Linked DNA regions of Saccharomyces cerevisiae S288C. The gene in region 4 interacts genetically with the main gene of each other region. Each region holds a gene or a part of one and is shown on either strand. Other genes may lie near its edges.

Region 1 (4,050 bases), 460 kb from region 4:
AAGCTGCCTCATTCAACTATCAATTTTTGAGTCAATTGATTGAAAATAATTCGCCAATTGTGTGTGCTCAATCTAATATCTCCGCTGTAGTTGATTCAGTCATACAAGCCTTGAATGAGAGAAGTTTGACCGAAAGGGAAGGCCAAACGGTGATAAGTTCAGTTAAAAAGTTGTTGGGATTTTTGCCTTCTAGTGATGCTATGGCAATTTTCAATAGATATCCAGCTGATATTATGGAGAAAGTACATAAATGGTTTGCATAAAGACGTTTAATAGAAAGAAGAACAATGTTAAGTAGTTCTATAAGGAATATTAAATGAATATTGTCTTTTTTGATGATTTAAAAACATATAATGTAACAATAGTGTTCTTTTTAATTTACCGGTGGTAATAGCGAATAGAATCTTATAAAACTTACATAGAAAAAAAATATATACTATACTTACAACTTTTCATTTTTTTCGTAAAAACTACCCCACAATGAAATAAGATACCATACCTTATCGAGTTATTATGTATGTGTCGAAGCTTTTTAAACCAAAGCAAAACCGACACCAGCGGCAATGGATAAGGAAATGATGGAGGTAAAGACCACTTGTGCTAAGTTAGCTTTAACGTTGGTGGCAGCATTCTTCTTGCTAGAAGATGAAGATGAAGCTGAAGAAGAAGAAGAAGAACTGGAAGAACCAGAAGAGCCGGAGTTAGACTTGGAAGAAGACCCCGAAGCGTTAGAAGAGGCAGTACTGGATTCAGTTCCGGAACCCAAATCAACACTACCTGATGCAGAGTTGGTACCCATACTACCAATCTCTTTCAAAGCGGAGGAGCAACTAGCTTGCGTGGTGGCAGTTTGTAGAGTGGCAGAACCGCTGAAGCTACAGTCAGATTTGCTACCACCACTCTTCTCGTAGTACAAATTCATAACGAAAGATAGCTGTTCCTTTGGTGTACAGAAAGAGTAAGCACCATACTTACCGGCGGTACCGTTTGCTGAAATACCGCTACAGTCGACTTCATTACAGATCCAGTTAAATAAGGTTTCGTAATCATCAGAATCAACGTCATCGGAAACAACACAACTATTGGCTGCATTCATACATGAACACAAGCCTCCGTTTGGAGTTGGTGGTAATTCTGTTGCAGCGGACCAGTACTTACCAGTAGCTGGACAAGCAACATCACTTGTTGTTGCACTGTAAGACTTTGTGTTGGCGGAAGTTGGTGATATTTTGTTGATTTCAGAAGAATAGTTGTTGAAGTCATCCAAAGTTTTAACATCATTACCATCGATGCTAACTAAACCGTATTTGTTAGTCTCTTCGAAGTACATGTATACGATACCACCAGACCAGACATCTGTCATATTAGAACCGTACAAGGCTTCAACCTCAGTAAATAGTCTTGGTGTTACTTCGTTACAACCGTATTCAGAGAAGAAAACAGGAATAGATAAGTTTTTGAATTCTGCAGTTCTATCAGCATAACCAGAAGTTTTGAAGTCAGATTTACCACACCATTCATACATATTAATACCGTAAAAATCAGCCTTAACATCATCATCACCACAAGCGAAATAATCAGTCATCTTAACTCTGGTATCTTCGTCATCATTGGAAGAGTAGCCAACTGGAATTTTTCTGTAGTTCTTGTCGCTGATGTATTGTCTGACGTCTCTAATAGCTGCCTTCACGAAAGCAGATGCATCTGTGTTGGTGTAATTGTTAGTAACTTCATTACCGGCGAAGAAACCCAAAACGTTGGTGTAATTAGCAAAAGTGTCAACAACGGTTTTGTAGCTGTTGAACAAGTCAACAGTCCAAGTTGGATCGTCTCTATTGATAGAGGTGGCTGGAGCTGCTAAATCAGCGATGACATAGATGTCAGCATCATTCAAAGCCTTCATACATTCGGAGTGATCTAGAGTGGTATTGATAGCGTAGACACGGATAACATTTGTGTTCAATTTTTTGAGGTATGGAATATCTCTGGAACAACTCTCATAATTGGCCAAAGGATCGTTGACAGTAGATCCGCTAGTTTCATTAGCGGTATCAGCCTGATAAGCAACACCTCTTATGTAGAACTGACTACCGTTGTTGGAGTAGAAAAACTTATTACCAACAACTTCAATCGCTGGAACATCGTCCGCAGTTGCGACGCCAGCAAAAAAAGCAGCAGCGGTTGCTAACTTTGAAAGGGATTTAAACAACATTGTTGAGATTTAGCTGTGTTTGTTGTTTTTGTTTTATCAGACTTTAAAAATAAAAACTGATTTTGAAATAGCTTAATAAAACGACACAACTATTTATGGATATCTAATTTGTTCGAGGAAAACAACCACGACTTTTCCTCTTAAATAAAAAAATCCGTGTCAACAGTAGTAGAGGGAAAAGTTTTTCAAACCTCGAGGATTATCGGGTATTTTACTAATAAACCGCGCAGGCTGTATGAGGAATACCAAAAGTAGAAATTTCTCATTATTTTCCCGACTTTTCTTTTTCCCATCTCCACGTTTGCGGCACGAAAACTCAGTGTAAAATAAGAAGCAAACAAAACGCGAGCCGCGAAAATATATCGAACTAAAAGTACGCAAAAGAATAGCCAGGGCTGGCCTGTGAATTCATAAAAAGTCTGAGCCGGCTATGATAGGCACCAGCTCGCTTTATCAGCTACTCAAAATAACTTTTTTTTTTTATCCCTATGCGACAGTCCTAAAGGTAGGTAAAGTTGGTGTTGTAGTCAGGATTGTCGATGGAGCATTTGGACCAGTATCGTTGTTGTTTTGGTTGTTAGGTTGGAAGATTCCTTCGAAAAGGGTGCCTTCCAGCAATTCTTGCGGACTAGATACGAAATCACCAGCAAAGAATGGCGCGATGAGCATAAAAAGGAGCACACCTAGCATCACAAAATATAGAGAGAAATATTTTGAAACTATCCTACTTCTTAATGCTCTCTGCTTTCGAGTCAAAATTCTTTTATGCGCGATAATACTTCTTGGATTCATCCAAAATAGCACCATTGTATGCCAGTAATCGATAAATGGTAACAATATTATGGGCGTTTGTATAAATAAGAGGAAGTGACCAAGAAAGAAATCTGCTGCAAAATAACTAGATTCCATAATCTTCACGAAGTATTCTCGTATGGGCTGTAAAATGATAGACCAGCCCATGCCCGTATTGTACCATTTACCATTCCACCATGCCAAATGTGCCTTATTGTTTTTATACTCCCTTGTCAAGAATATCGTCGTAAAGACCTTGAAAAGAATCAGATGCATATTGATGCACGTAATAAGCAGTATCAATGTACGGGTAAAGTTCCAACCTTGTAAGAACCACATCAGTTCGAAATCTAAAAGATAGACCAAAACCGAGAAAGTGTGTGCAATAAACGCAATCACGGCACCTGCGTCTTTACAACAATATGACAATCCAGGAACCACAAAAAGTGAAACCCAAAATAATAGAAAAAGCACTATTGAGTTAAGAAAGATTGGCAAAAAAGTTACGAGCAACAAACGGAAAACAGCGCTAGTTGGTGTTGAGTCAGAGACCCCTGTTTGTGCATTAATGAAAGAAAAAGCGGTGAAGTTGAAGAGGAACACACAGAAAGGTAGAAATAGTTCTGCAAAGAAGACGTTCCAAAACCTCGCTTTCTTTGAATCATGGCCTGAATCTTCGGAAATATCATCTACAGTTTTACTTTTATAGCCCGTAAATCTTGATCGAGAACTCTTGACAAAGTTTGCCCACGATTCTTTTTGATATTTCGTGTTACCTGAGAATAACCAGTGGATAAAGGTTTTATAATCAATGAAGAAATCCATGAATGCGAACTGATGTGGATTGAAAATAAAAGGTGCGAAGCACATCGAAATGACTGTAATCCAAAACCATAATAAGGCGGGTTGCCACATGGAAATAATCGCGAATAATAACATGAAGAACACTTGGAAACCAGAATATATCGATATATTAACAAATCTGGAATAGAGCGTAAAAAAATCGAGGCGTGTTATTGCAAACCCACGACCTGTAGATATGTACT
Region 2 (4,702 bases), on a different chromosome or scaffold from region 4:
TGAGGGTGACGGTGAAACTGTCATTGACGGTGATGTTGAGGAATTACTATTGGATCTTGCCGACGATTTTGTTACTAATGTTACAGCTTTTTCTTGTAGATTGGCAAAACACAGAAAATCGGACAATTTGGAGGCAAGAGACATTCAGTTACATTTGGAGAGAAATTGGAATATTAGGATTCCTGGTTATTCCGCAGACGAAATAAGAAGTACAAGAAAATGGAATCCCTCTCAAAATTATAACCAGAAATTGCAGAGTATCACATCAGATAAGGTAGCAGCTGCAAAAAACAATGGAAACAATGTTGCAAGCTTGAATACAAAAAAATAATTATGTTACCCACATTCTCCACTCTTCCACAGAAAAAATTCCTAAAGTTATAGTTCACATTGTTATATATGTATCTATAAAGCGAAATTTTTTAAAATTAATTGATTAATTAATATTTTGTATCTAAAGTGTTCATACTATATTATTTACTTAGATTATACATAATTAAAAAAAAAAAAAACTTTTTTTCCTTGTTTTCATTTTGTTTTTATTATTAAATATTAAAAAAAGTGTCCATAACATCAATGTTTTTTTTTACCTTTGATTAGTTTTCATTGGCGAAACCATAATCCCCGTTCCATTCCCATCATAACTACGCTCTCTTCTGAGTTGATCTTCAAGCTTGAACATCAACTGTCCATTATGATCCTTGTTAATATTTTCTTTGATTGGACTACTAGAAACACTTGAAGTTCCATCTTTTCTTGGTCTTCCTCTTTTTCTTGGAGACCTTTTAATTACCACGTTTTCATACTTTTTACCACCGCTGCAAATCATTCTACTTCTGTGCACAACCAAAGCGTCTTCTCTATTGAATTTCTTACCACAGGGACATGCATACGCCTTTTCTTGGTGCGATTTTTTGTGTCTTATCAAGTCATGATTTCGTACAAATGCCTTATCACATCCAGGGTGATCACAGGAATATGGCCGATCTTCCAAATGTGTTTGAATATGAGATCTGATGTTATACCTTCTCTTGAATGTTTTTGTACATCCAGGAAATAAACATTCAAATGTTTTATCAGGCATTTCCTTCACATATTTATCGATTGAACCTCTGGGCAGTGTTGTGAGTTTTCTTGTGATTTTTGAGGGACTATTTGTGGTATATGTGTTGATTTCCTTAATGTGTGTGCCGAATTGAGGAGATCTTCCTTCGTACTTACTTTGTGACTTAAGAACGGGAGAAGGCGTTTCGGAAATAACAAATCTACTTTCAGGCTCATTTTCCTCATTATCATCTCCTTCATTGTCTGTATTTTTCGTAAGTACATTAGGGTCTAAATCATTGAAAACGCCTTCCCGATGTCGTGCTTGCTGGCTCGGCGGCTTTAGATGTGGTGTCGCAGCATTGATACCCAATGCATTCTCACTGATAGAGCTAAAGTGTAACTGCTTACCTCTTGGTGTATATTGGTCTATATAACTGGAGGAAAGGGATACTTTATTGACTGATGGAGTATTATTTACAGACCCAGGAATTGTAGGCATAATATCCACAGAAGCACTCTTTAAAGACACTGATTTTGTAGGAGAAGGACCTGGTTTTCCAAGAAGTTCAATACCCAGGCCCAAAGGTTTCTCTGAATATTCGCTTTCCTGATCTTCAACATTAATCTTGAAATCTAACCTTAAGTTATTAGGGGTAATGTTAGCAGAGTTGGACGTAGCTGAACTAACTCTACTCTTTGGAGTGAAGGGCGTAATAAATTTGGTTTTTGAACTGAGGTTTTCATTTGGATTCGAGCGAATTTTCTTTGGTGAAATGAGGGAGTCATTGAAACCTTCGTTCAATTCCTGGAAACATAGTGGTCCTACAGTACCACTAGAGTTTTTTCTCTGCAGGCAGTACTTTTGTCTATTGTTTCTCCTAGAAGGTGACCCAGTGAACGAAGTATTAGACATTGGTGGGGAAATCATTGGTGAAAGGCTATTTGCGTATACATCCTCCACATTTTCTGAAGCAGGAGAGATCTTCCTTTTGGGAGATAAAAACTGTGGACCATCAGAGTTCTCTAAGGTAGCCTGTAGTTGTTGTTGCTTGTATTGTGTTTGTTTGAGTTCTAACTCTAACTTCTTATTAGCCTCTTGTTGTGCTCTCAATTGCTCGCGCAACTCTTGTTGTTGCTGTAACAGTAATTCCCCGAGGTTTCTATCGAAGCCTTTATTAATTTCACTTTTGTTTATAGTCGACAATAAATTATCCGCCATGGAAATCTTCTTTTCATCGTGGGGCTTATCACTCATTGTTTTTTGATAAACAGTCATACCACTGTCTTGATTTAATCTATTTTCATTCAACAAGCTAGTTGCATTTAGAGTCACTTCTCTTGAATTATTTTCTAAGTCAAAGTTCATACTTTGCCAATCATTTCCTATTAACTCGGAGAAAGTAGAAACCTTGACAGATTTTTCATCAGAAAGTGGTCCCAGCGGAAGGTTTAAGTCATTTATTTCATTCATTATAACTTCGTTGGTTTCACCATAGTTTAGGTTCAATATATTGCCTAAATCATCTGTTGCTAGTGTTTTATATTCGCCTTCTATTGCATAACTCGAAGGGTCACTGCCTCTAGCATTTGAGTAATAAGAGTTGGTTTGTAGGTCAAAATTTAGGCTTTGTACTTTTGAGGCATCAAACCAAGAGTTTGATGTATCCATCTTTTTCGAAAAAACAATGACGTTAATATTTTATTTGATTGCGCTTTAATTATATCGCAGATGTTAAACACGTTCTCAGGATCTATTTACCTAGCTCCAAGAACGAGTTATATGGTGGTATCTATATTGTCGTTCTCAAATCTTTCTTCCAACGATGCCTTTTTGTCTTCCGTGCCAATACATAAATAGTGAATAAAATTGCAGACGATCCTCTATAGTACTCAATCATTGTTTATAGAGCAGATCTATAGGGAGAAAGAAAGATAATTAGTCGCTAATGGTAGGTATTGTTATTGTTTACCTTTTTCCTAAACAGGTTAAAGTACGAAAGTGAAAATTTCATCCTCTCTACTTGCCCGGATTGGGATTCAGACCAAGATATTTCCAACAATGCTGCTATGAATTGGAACAGAGATGTTCTAATGAATATTTAACAAGGTGTGAGCGGAGTGTACCACTCCTATCGGCTTTCAGATAATCATACTACCTTTCAGAATATCTAACAATAACACTCCGATATTTGATTCGCTCTCCTTTAAGACAGAAATAACATTGGCCCTAGAATCCAATGCCGTAAATATCTACTTGACACCATTTAATGAAAGAACTGTCTGACTGCCGAAGTTTTATAAGTAGTTTGACTATGTTTCATAAGTTAGGCCACTAGACAGCATGTGAAAACGGTGATGATAGTAAAAAAATATCGTTTGGGTTTTGGCTACCCGGAGGTCGTTTGCAAAAGAAAGTGTATGCAAATCTACAAAACAATAGATGTCGTTGTTGAGATAACAGATTGGCACAAAATTACTAAATTGTTGTGGTACGCAGCTATAGTTTGTACGAAAGTAGTAGCAGAAATTAACAGATACAGATCTGCAATTTGGCATAATGTACACCAATTATTCACTTACAAGCAGTGACGCAATGCCCCGAACTTACTTGGTCGGCACAGCCTCACCAGAAATGTCTAAGAAAAAGCGCCAGTCTGCAAATTGTGACAAGCCAACGAGGAGGGTGATCCACATCATCGATACTAATGAGCACTCAGAAGTCGACTTGAAAAATGAACTGCCAATAACATGCACGAATGAAGACGGTGAGATGACATCAAGCTCATGGACTTCACAAACCGCTAATGATTTTCTCAAACTGGCATACGTAAACGCGAAATTAGACCCGTCTTTGCCATCTCAATATTTCAAACAAGATATCATAAATGTTTTACAAAGCTTGGAGATTCCTGGATGGTCTGTGCCCGGCTCTAAAGAATCCTCGTTGAATAAGAATTTATTAACTTTGACACAAATCAAGGGGGCCCTTACAAATGTTATTTATAAGATTCACTATCCAAACTTACCCCCTTTACTGATGAGAATTTTTGGTGATAGCATAGATTCTGTAATTGATAGAGAGTATGAATTAAAGGTTATTGCGAGATTATCATTTTATGATTTAGGACCCAAACTAGAAGGGTTTTTTGAAAATGGCAGATTTGAAAAATACATTGAGGGTTCGAGGACATCTACTCAAGCCGACTTTATAGATCGGGATACTTCAATAAAAATTGCTAAAAAATTGAAAGAGTTGCATTGTACTGTTCCATTAACGCATAAAGAAATAACGGATCAACCGTCATGCTGGACAACCTTTGATCAGTGGATCAAATTAATAGACTCGCATAAAGAGTGGGTTTCCAATAATGTAAATATAAGTGAAAATTTACGCTGTTCAAGTTGGAATTTTTTTTTAAAGAGTTTCAAAAATTATAAGCGTTGGTTGTATAATGATTCTGCTTTTACCTCAAAATTATTAAGAGAGGATGATAAAGATAGTATGATAAATTCTGGGCTAAAAATGGTATTTTGCCATAACGACTTACAGCATGGTAATTTACTTTTTAAAAGTAAGGGTAAGGATGACATCTCAGTGGGCGATTTAACAATTATTGACTTTGAGTACGCAGGCCCTAACCCCGTTGTATTTGAT
Region 3 (4,670 bases), on a different chromosome or scaffold from region 4:
TGTGGAAAGTTGATTAATGATTTTCTTACCAACTCTATGTAGTTTTTGCAAAGTCGTGTATGTGTCATAAGGTCAACCCAAAAGTCCAGATAGTTGATGGCATATGGGAATTGTGAAAGAAATGTATAAAAAGTCCAGAGATCAACTGGCTGCGATGTCCTCTGTATTAACACTTCATACAATGTTGGCAATCGTTCACGCTGGATCATCTCGAAATTTTGCATACTGCTCACTTTGCTGAGCTCTTCCTTCATGATGAATGGGACGCTCTTGAACTTTCTTTTTGGCAGAAATTGTTAGAGGTCGTTGTGCACAATGAATTTCCCGTATGTGTTTTATTGATATTTTCGTTTTGCCCGCATTCTCGAAACACGAATATTTTTCCTCGAATGGCGGCGGGCGGCGAAGTTACATAACCAGCATTGCTCTGTATTAATGTATGCTGGGTTTTCTTTAAAGTGACCCAAGAGTTTGACACAACGTTGAAGCGTATCGCCAATTTTTTTTGGATTATATATACGTATTAATGTCTTTTTATCGTATTTATGCATCGTAGCATCCAATGGTGCAAGTAGTGAAGAAATTGAGCAAATTCTCCTGCACCAAGTTGAGAACAGTTTCTGGATATCTTGACGAGATTTCATTCGAAACTTTGGTCAGACTCATATCTTGAATAACCACACTTAAACAATCAAGTAAACTTATGGAAAATTCCGTATACCAACGGTGGTTCCAGCAGCATATCTTCACGCAAAGGTCGATAATGCTATTGTCTAGCTCTCTTATGCGTGAGCTTACTATTTCAGGGACCATGTCATGCGAATTAGGTGAGTTTATAAAATTTTTGACCCGTTGGCGTTCGTTTATACAATATTCCAGCAGTTTCCTCGCGCACCTTGATGAAAATCTCTGCGATAAACCGTTCTGGAAGGCCTTGGCGGCCTCAGGGAAATGGCCCAGTCGACGTGCACAAAGGCCAAATAACTCCCATTCGAAAGTCAACTTATTGTGGTTGTTATTCTGTGCATCCATGTACAGTTGTTCGGTTTGCCATAATGTATACATCTTCAGGTCTTCATATAAAAGCATGAAGAGGTTGTCTAACCATCGTTCACACAGCCGTTTAGCCCTCAGAGGCTGTTCTTCTTGTTTGTTAACGTCCTTTGGTAACGAAGATGATGATTTTTGGTACTCTTCTTCCATAACGAAAATGTTTGATCTGTACTTTAACAGATTTTCCCAGCCGGTGATCTGCACAATTTCTGTCAATAATCGGTATGCCAATTGGAAAGTAGATTTCAAGTTCGACGCAGCTAAATTGACCAGCATTGGATCCGCAGAGCGGTGTTCATTCTGAACGTCTTGTGGATTCAACGACGTCACTTCATCCAGTACAACGTCAATTGGCAATGGCAAATGAAGACTATTATTCGAAGGCAACGGAGCTACTCTTTTCAGTACGTATTTTTCCTTTAATGGAGACATAGGGCATGAATTCAGTATCAGTAAGGCATTTTCAATATCATTTAGCTTTACATACACCTTGGATAAAAGATACCAAGGTCTAAATTCACTGGGAGAACAATTGACTGCCTCTTGCGCTATGTTTTGCGCCAAGCTGTAATCCTGCCTTTTGTCTATCAAAAATTGCGCTTGTAAGCACAGTAATTCAGATTTATAATCCATGCGGTTATTAGTGTTGTTTATTATTTTATCCTGCGAAAGCATATCGTATGTGAGCTTTATTGCGTCTAATTCTTGATCACACACCAAAAAGATCTTGATTAGTATTATGATCGCCTCAGGGTTGTCGGTAGCCAGATTCTTCAACATTATTTCCGCCCTGCTAACATTACGAGTCAGCTTAACTATCTCAACGAGTGTTTCTACCAAATAGTTATTAGTGTTCGTCACATTGGTAATATAATACGGAGCTCCCAATAATGGGCCCTTATGGTAAACTATAGGGAACAGATCAATGAACATTTCTGGTACATCGTCGATTTGTCCTGCAGTAAACGGGTTCAAAATCAAGGTTTCCACTAAATTTTGTAATTCTCCCTCTTCAGCGTTTTCCTTCATTAACATGATTGACCGTACTACGCCACTTACGAACGTTTCAGCCCAAATTAAGTCATAATCCGCACACATCTCTATATTTTGACTTTCACCGTTGCAATCCACTATAAAGTTCTGAATCGATCCTGGAATATGAACGACGACATTTATGTCGCATCTCCTGAACGCATTCCAAGTGGAAAATGAAATTCGAGCAACATTGAAGGTTTTCTTCCTGCCAAACCAAACTTGGGGTTTCTCGCTGATGACCTCTGAAATCTCCTTCAAAAAAATTGCGATTGAAGTTGGACCGGATGTATCGACACCCATTGAGTAAAAAAATGTCCCTACTTCGTCCTTCAGTTTATCAAGTGGATGGAGCTCAGCGACCATCGGGGCTCCATCATTGGCATTTCTGCTGCTACTGTATATAGATGCATTTGTATAATTTGTGGTAACGGCGGTGTCACTAGCATCGCCATTGGTTGCCATGGAAGCGGCAGAGTCATCGGCTACAACGGCTGCAGGGGACTGAATAATGGCCGCACCATTTCTACTCGTACTGTTTATGGCATTTGTGTTACTTGAAGTGGGCAAATACTTTGTTAGTGTGACCAAGTCTGCCGGCCCTAAGTCTTGAAACTGCGGTAACCGAATTCTTCTCTCATGTAAAGCATAACCAATAAAATCTTCTTTTACCTCTGGTATAGAATTCTGCGTAATCATCTGAGGGAAGCTCTTCTTCCTTAGTTCTTTATTTTTTTGCGCTCACTCCCTTCTCAAACACTTCAACTTAATAACAGCACTATTTATGGAAAAAAAATCTTAAAATAATTAAAACGCCATTGCCTCGAGGCTAAGCTTACGCCCTCTTGCTATATTTGCATACGTTTTTCAGATCCTTCTTCTATTCCTGGCTCAGGTACCAGGTACCGAAAAAGGTGAAGAAAAAAGGACTTGGAATGTGTTCACGTGACGCTATCGACACCCGCATGACAGAATCTTAAGGCAATGCTCGCAACTTTCTTCCAAGATGCGTGAAAATGCTTATAAGTCTTACTAAGCTATCAAGACATACTGAATTTGGGTCACTACGTCTCATTTATCGAACACTGATGAAAAGATGGTAGGCCTGATACTTGGCCCAAATGTACGCCAGTCAACTTTGCATTGGAGGGTAATAGAAGCAAGGATTCTGTTACCCTGACTATGTTACCCTGATTGTATTACCCGACCAAGAGAACCACGTAGAACGTCATGGAACAATTCCTGGAAATAATCGATCACCATCGTTGCCTCTTTCATGAACGGGCGCCCCTTGACGGTGGTGGTATATATTAGGTAGCTGGAAAGGCGCCTGTCGCTTAACCAATAATAGTTTCATGTGTTAGGGAAGGTTGAATCTACGCTTCCATAACTGTAAAAGCTAATAAGCTAGAAAACAAAAAAGTTAACGAGCAAAATCGTAAAGAAAAATGTCTGACTGGGATACAAATACTATTATTGGTAGCAGAGCAAGAGCTGGTGGTTCTGGCCCAAGGGCCAACGTTGCCAGATCTCAAGGCCAAATTAATGCTGCAAGAAGACAGGGGTTGGTTGTTTCCGTTGACAAGAAGTACGGATCAACCAATACGAGGGGTGACAACGAGGGTCAGAGGTTGACCAAGGTCGACCGTGAGACAGATATTGTCAAACCCAAGAAATTGGATCCAAATGTCGGTAGGGCCATCTCGCGTGCCAGAACAGACAAGAAAATGTCGCAGAAGGATTTGGCAACCAAAATTAACGAAAAGCCAACCGTGGTAAACGATTATGAAGCCGCTAGAGCTATTCCAAACCAACAAGTTTTGTCTAAGTTGGAAAGAGCCTTAGGCGTTAAATTGAGAGGTAACAACATCGGTTCGCCTTTGGGAGCTCCAAAGAAGAAATGAAGAGGTCTTCTTTCATTTGTTCCTTTCTTTTCGCACTGCATGTCATCAATGAAGCATTCTTAATAATGTACATTATTCTATCATGATCGTTTTATGGTTTTTTTCGTTTATTTTATCATTTTTTTTTTTTTTTAGCTTTTTTTCCTCTATAGAAAGTGAAGTACACACGTATATATTATGATTCAGGATCTTTATTTGGTCTCAATTTTAATATTTTTTTGCAAGGACTCGATTAATCTATCTTTTTCTATCCACCTATTTTCAAGCCACTTTTCTAAACTCTCATCATTGTATGCGAGTAATGGTTGAATTTGATGCTTTTTTACATTTACCATCACAACAATGGGGTCCTTATCCTTTATGTTGTTTTCAGACTCCATTTCTGGTTGAATCATCTCAAAGATTGTCGGAGATATTTGCTCTAATTGATAACCTTTATGAAGTCTCAAATCTCCGTTGGTATGATCATGCCCACTATCAGTATATTTGACTCGGTAATAAATTATGGTGACATCATATATGTATGGATTGATTCGTACCACCTTGGGCTTGCCGCTGCTGATTTCTTCCTTTTTTGTAAGTAAGTATGAATTATCTACGATCATGGGCGGCGTCGTCTTATCGGATACCTTGGAAGACTCCATTTTCATGCTCTTGTGAACTAATTTGTCAAGTTCTCTG
Region 4 (3,465 bases):
CTATCATTACAGTATGTGATAAAGGGGCATGGACTTGATATCCTAGCCTACTAATCTCTTTGCTAAAACATGTTGCAACCAAATAGGGCTACCATTGTACTTCTAATGAATACTCTTTACGGCGCACTGCAATGCGTAATAAAGTTTTATTGTAGCGAGGTTTCATTTTTGCTTATGTTCTTTTTATTGTTTAATACGTGCATATGTATTCTATAAGATAAATGTATATAACTGCCAACAAAATAAACTAAAATCAAGGTATGGCTGTAGAAAATGATACCACAGATAATAAAATAATAAATAATCTAATAGCTGAGTGGAAGAAAAAAAAAAAATAAAAAAAGAGTAGTACAAACTAAGGAGATAAAAGTGTGAACTATGCCTATTCAAAAAAGTAGAATAGAGTAAATAAGCATACTTGTACTTATCTCAGTTGTAAAATATCGTTACTTAGAACTCCTCTTTTCTCTCTCGAAAAAAAAATGTCTTTAAAAATAATATCATTTCATCGAAAAGGCTTCCGGAGCTTCACCTTCCGGTCCAATATACTTTGGATCCCTCCATGGACCGATATCGGATAGGTATAACCCACCCTTGGATTCATCAACTTCAGACTTACCGCCAAATTTGACTGGTAAGTTTTCAGCTGGAATTTGCTTTAATAATTCCTTCTGGTAAGAAGAACCCAAGATAAAAATCTTTGAAACAGTGACTGGATCCAAGAAAGGTTTAAATAGCCTAAATGCGGTAGAGAAACCGAATGGCGCGTTGATGATGTAAAATTTACCCATACGTTCGGGGTAATAGTTTTGACTTATGTAGGAGGCTTCCCTAACATATGACATAACACTGTATGCACTAGATATGGAGATACCTTTCAAATCCATAATTGTACATGAAGTTTCCACTAGGTGACCAGCAGCTCTTGAACAGGCAGGTAATCTGTATTGAACGACAGATTCGTATTCCCAAACCAAGTTTTTCAACATCCTCTCTTCAGAGGTAACCTTGTTCATTTCATGTAAGTTAACAGCACCTAATTCTTCAAAATATACTGGGCGGCCATCTTTATCGGTTTTATGATAATATTGTGGGTAGAATTTGGCAATCAATGGTTTTTCATCATAATGAAAATCTTGCAAGATAGTGTCGGTACCATAATCCTTCCTCCATTTTTCGCAGTTTTCAAACATTTCTTTAGCCAATTGAACATCAAATTTTCTGGCTCTCAAAAAACGTAGTAAAGTTGAATCGTCTAAACGTTCAATGAAACCAGCGTCTTCCAAAAGTTTTCTTAGTTCTGCCAATGCCTTCTCTTGAGCGCTGTCTAAATTTCCTGGAGTACCAGGCAAGGCATCTGGAGGACAGTTTTGAGGGTAGGATTCTAAAAATTCCTTTTCTTGTTGCTATTTAAAGTGAAGTCATAGTAATACCACTTGTGTTTGTTAGTAAACTTATTGATATATCATTTTTGCTTCATATAGACAGAACTATCTGAAGAATGTGAATATTGTCACAATGAATGTCAAAAAAAGAAAAAGTAAATAAAAGCAACAACATACTGTAACCATTGTGTTTTAGGGCGATGAAGGTTTGGTTTGATGCTACAGGCGCTGGTCAAGCGATATACCAGGAAAGGACACTTAAGACACAAACAAAGGAAGATGTACCATTTTATTGTTGATCAACGTTGAAAAAAAAAATGTGGAAAAAACGAACTAGCCAGTCGCGTTGTACGGAACATCTAACACGTAAATAAACATGATTTCATATATTTTATTCCTAATGTGTACACTATTTGACCCAAAAGGTGGATGTAAGGTCAGGGATCATGGTTGATACCGCACCATACATTGGTTCACTAGGGAGAAGTTCCCTTTTTGATACTGGTGATATAGAACAAGCCCCTGGTAATAATGCAATTGGTATTAATGAGGAAGATATTCACGCGTTTGTATCAAGTACTGGCGAAACGGTTCAATTAAAGAAGAAGCCTGCGAAGTTAGCAACCGGGAATATTAGTCTATACACTAACCCAGATACTGTTTGGAGATCAGACGACACGTACGGCATCAATATAAACTATTTGTTAGACAAAATTGAGGCATCTGGCGATGACCGCACTAACGCACAAAAGACTTCACCTATAACTGGCAAGATAGGTAGCGACACACTCTGGGTAGAGAAATGGCGTCCTAAAAAATTTCTAGATTTGGTTGGTAATGAAAAGACAAACAGGAGAATGTTAGGTTGGTTGAGACAATGGACGCCGGCTGTGTTTAAAGAGCAATTACCCAAATTGCCAACCGAAAAAGAGGTCAGTGATATGGAACTCGATCCATTGAAAAGGCCACCAAAGAAAATTTTACTACTGCACGGGCCACCAGGAATAGGCAAAACCTCAGTAGCTCACGTTATTGCCAAACAATCAGGGTTTTCTGTCTCAGAAATCAATGCAAGTGATGAAAGGGCTGGACCTATGGTAAAAGAGAAAATATATAATCTTTTATTCAATCATACTTTCGATACAAATCCTGTGTGCTTAGTGGCGGATGAGATTGATGGAAGTATTGAGAGTGGATTTATTAGAATTTTAGTTGACATTATGCAAAGCGATATTAAAGCCACTAATAAACTATTATACGGTCAACCAGATAAAAAGGACAAAAAGCGCAAAAAGAAAAGGTCTAAATTGCTTACGCGACCTATTATTTGTATTTGCAATAATCTATATGCTCCTTCTTTGGAAAAGCTGAAACCATTCTGTGAAATTATTGCTGTGAAAAGACCTTCCGATACTACCCTACTAGAGCGATTGAACCTTATCTGCCATAAAGAAAACATGAATATTCCTATAAAAGCAATCAATGACTTAATTGATTTGGCTCAAGGTGACGTAAGGAATTGTATAAACAATTTACAATTCTTGGCCTCGAATGTTGATTCAAGAGATTCCTCTGCATCAGATAAACCTGCTTGTGCAAAAAATACGTGGGCGTCATCCAACAAGGACTCCCCCATATCATGGTTTAAAATCGTGAACCAATTGTTTAGAAAGGATCCACATCGTGATATAAAGGAGCAGTTTTATGAATTGCTAAACCAAGTAGAGCTTAATGGTAACTCTGACAGGATATTGCAAGGCTGTTTTAATATATTTCCCTACGTAAAATATTCCGACAATGGTATAAGAAAGCCAGCAAACATTTCAGATTGGCTATTTTTCCATGATTTAATGTACCAATCAATGTATGCGCATAATGGCGAATTGTTACGTTACTCCGCCCTTGTGCCCCTAGTCTTCTTCCAAACGTTTGGCGATATCGCAAACAAAGATGATATTAGAATGAAGAATAGTGAATACGAACAACGTGAATTAAAACGAGCCAATTCAGATATAGTTAGTCTGATTATGAGACATATCTCGGTTCAGTCCCCACTAATGGCAAGTTTTACGGATAGAAA

Evidence for each region.
Region 1: mutations in SEC14 (region 4) and GAS1 together harm fitness more than expected from each alone (negative genetic interaction), as found in Saccharomyces cerevisiae (5 studies listed by BioGRID, with this or other methods).
Region 2: mutations in SEC14 (region 4) and SWI5 together harm fitness more than expected from each alone (negative genetic interaction), as found in Saccharomyces cerevisiae (one large-scale study listed by BioGRID).
Region 3: mutations in SEC14 (region 4) and BUD7 are lethal when combined (synthetic lethality), as found in Saccharomyces cerevisiae (2 studies listed by BioGRID, with this or other methods).

Annotation. Positions count from the first base shown.
Region 1 is NC_001145.3:885,165-889,214, reverse strand, and holds GAS1 (1,3-beta-glucanosyltransferase GAS1), read right to left. Parts: upstream 2,213-4,050; coding exon 533-2,212; downstream 1-532. Other genes in the region: importin PSE1, read left to right, coding at 1-263; FKS3 (putative 1,3-beta-D-glucan synthase), read right to left, coding at 2,699-4,050.
Region 2 is NC_001136.10:748,027-752,728, forward strand, and holds SWI5 (DNA-binding transcription factor SWI5), read right to left. Parts: upstream 2,717-4,702; coding exon 587-2,716; downstream 1-586. Other genes in the region: TAF12 (Taf12p), read left to right, coding at 1-331; bifunctional choline kinase/ethanolamine kinase EKI1, read left to right, coding at 3,605-4,702. UniProt on the Saccharomyces cerevisiae protein: Determines the mother-cell-specific transcription of the HO endonuclease gene that is responsible for the initiation of mating-type switching in yeast. Recognizes a specific sequence in the promoter of the HO gene.
Region 3 is NC_001147.6:876,549-881,218, reverse strand, and holds BUD7 (exomer complex subunit), read right to left. Parts: upstream 2,785-4,670; coding exon 544-2,784; downstream 1-543. Other genes in the region: RAX1 (Rax1p), read right to left, coding at 1-254; MBF1 (multiprotein-bridging factor 1), read left to right, coding at 3,534-3,989; MUM3 (Mum3p), read right to left, coding at 4,181-4,670. UniProt on the Saccharomyces cerevisiae protein: Member of the CHS5-ARF1P-binding proteins (CHAPS) which mediates export of specific cargo proteins, including chitin synthase CHS3. May be involved in positioning the proximal bud pole signal.
Region 4 is NC_001145.3:423,095-426,559, reverse strand, and holds SEC14 (phosphatidylinositol/phosphatidylcholine transfer protein SEC14), read right to left. Parts: upstream 1,572-3,465; coding exon 1,563-1,571; intron 1,407-1,562; coding exon 501-1,406; downstream 1-500. Other genes in the region: CTF18 (Ctf18p), read left to right, coding at 1,832-3,465. UniProt on the Saccharomyces cerevisiae protein: Required for transport of secretory proteins from the Golgi complex. Catalyzes the transfer of phosphatidylinositol (PI) and phosphatidylcholine (PC) between membranes in vitro. Essential for viability and secretion.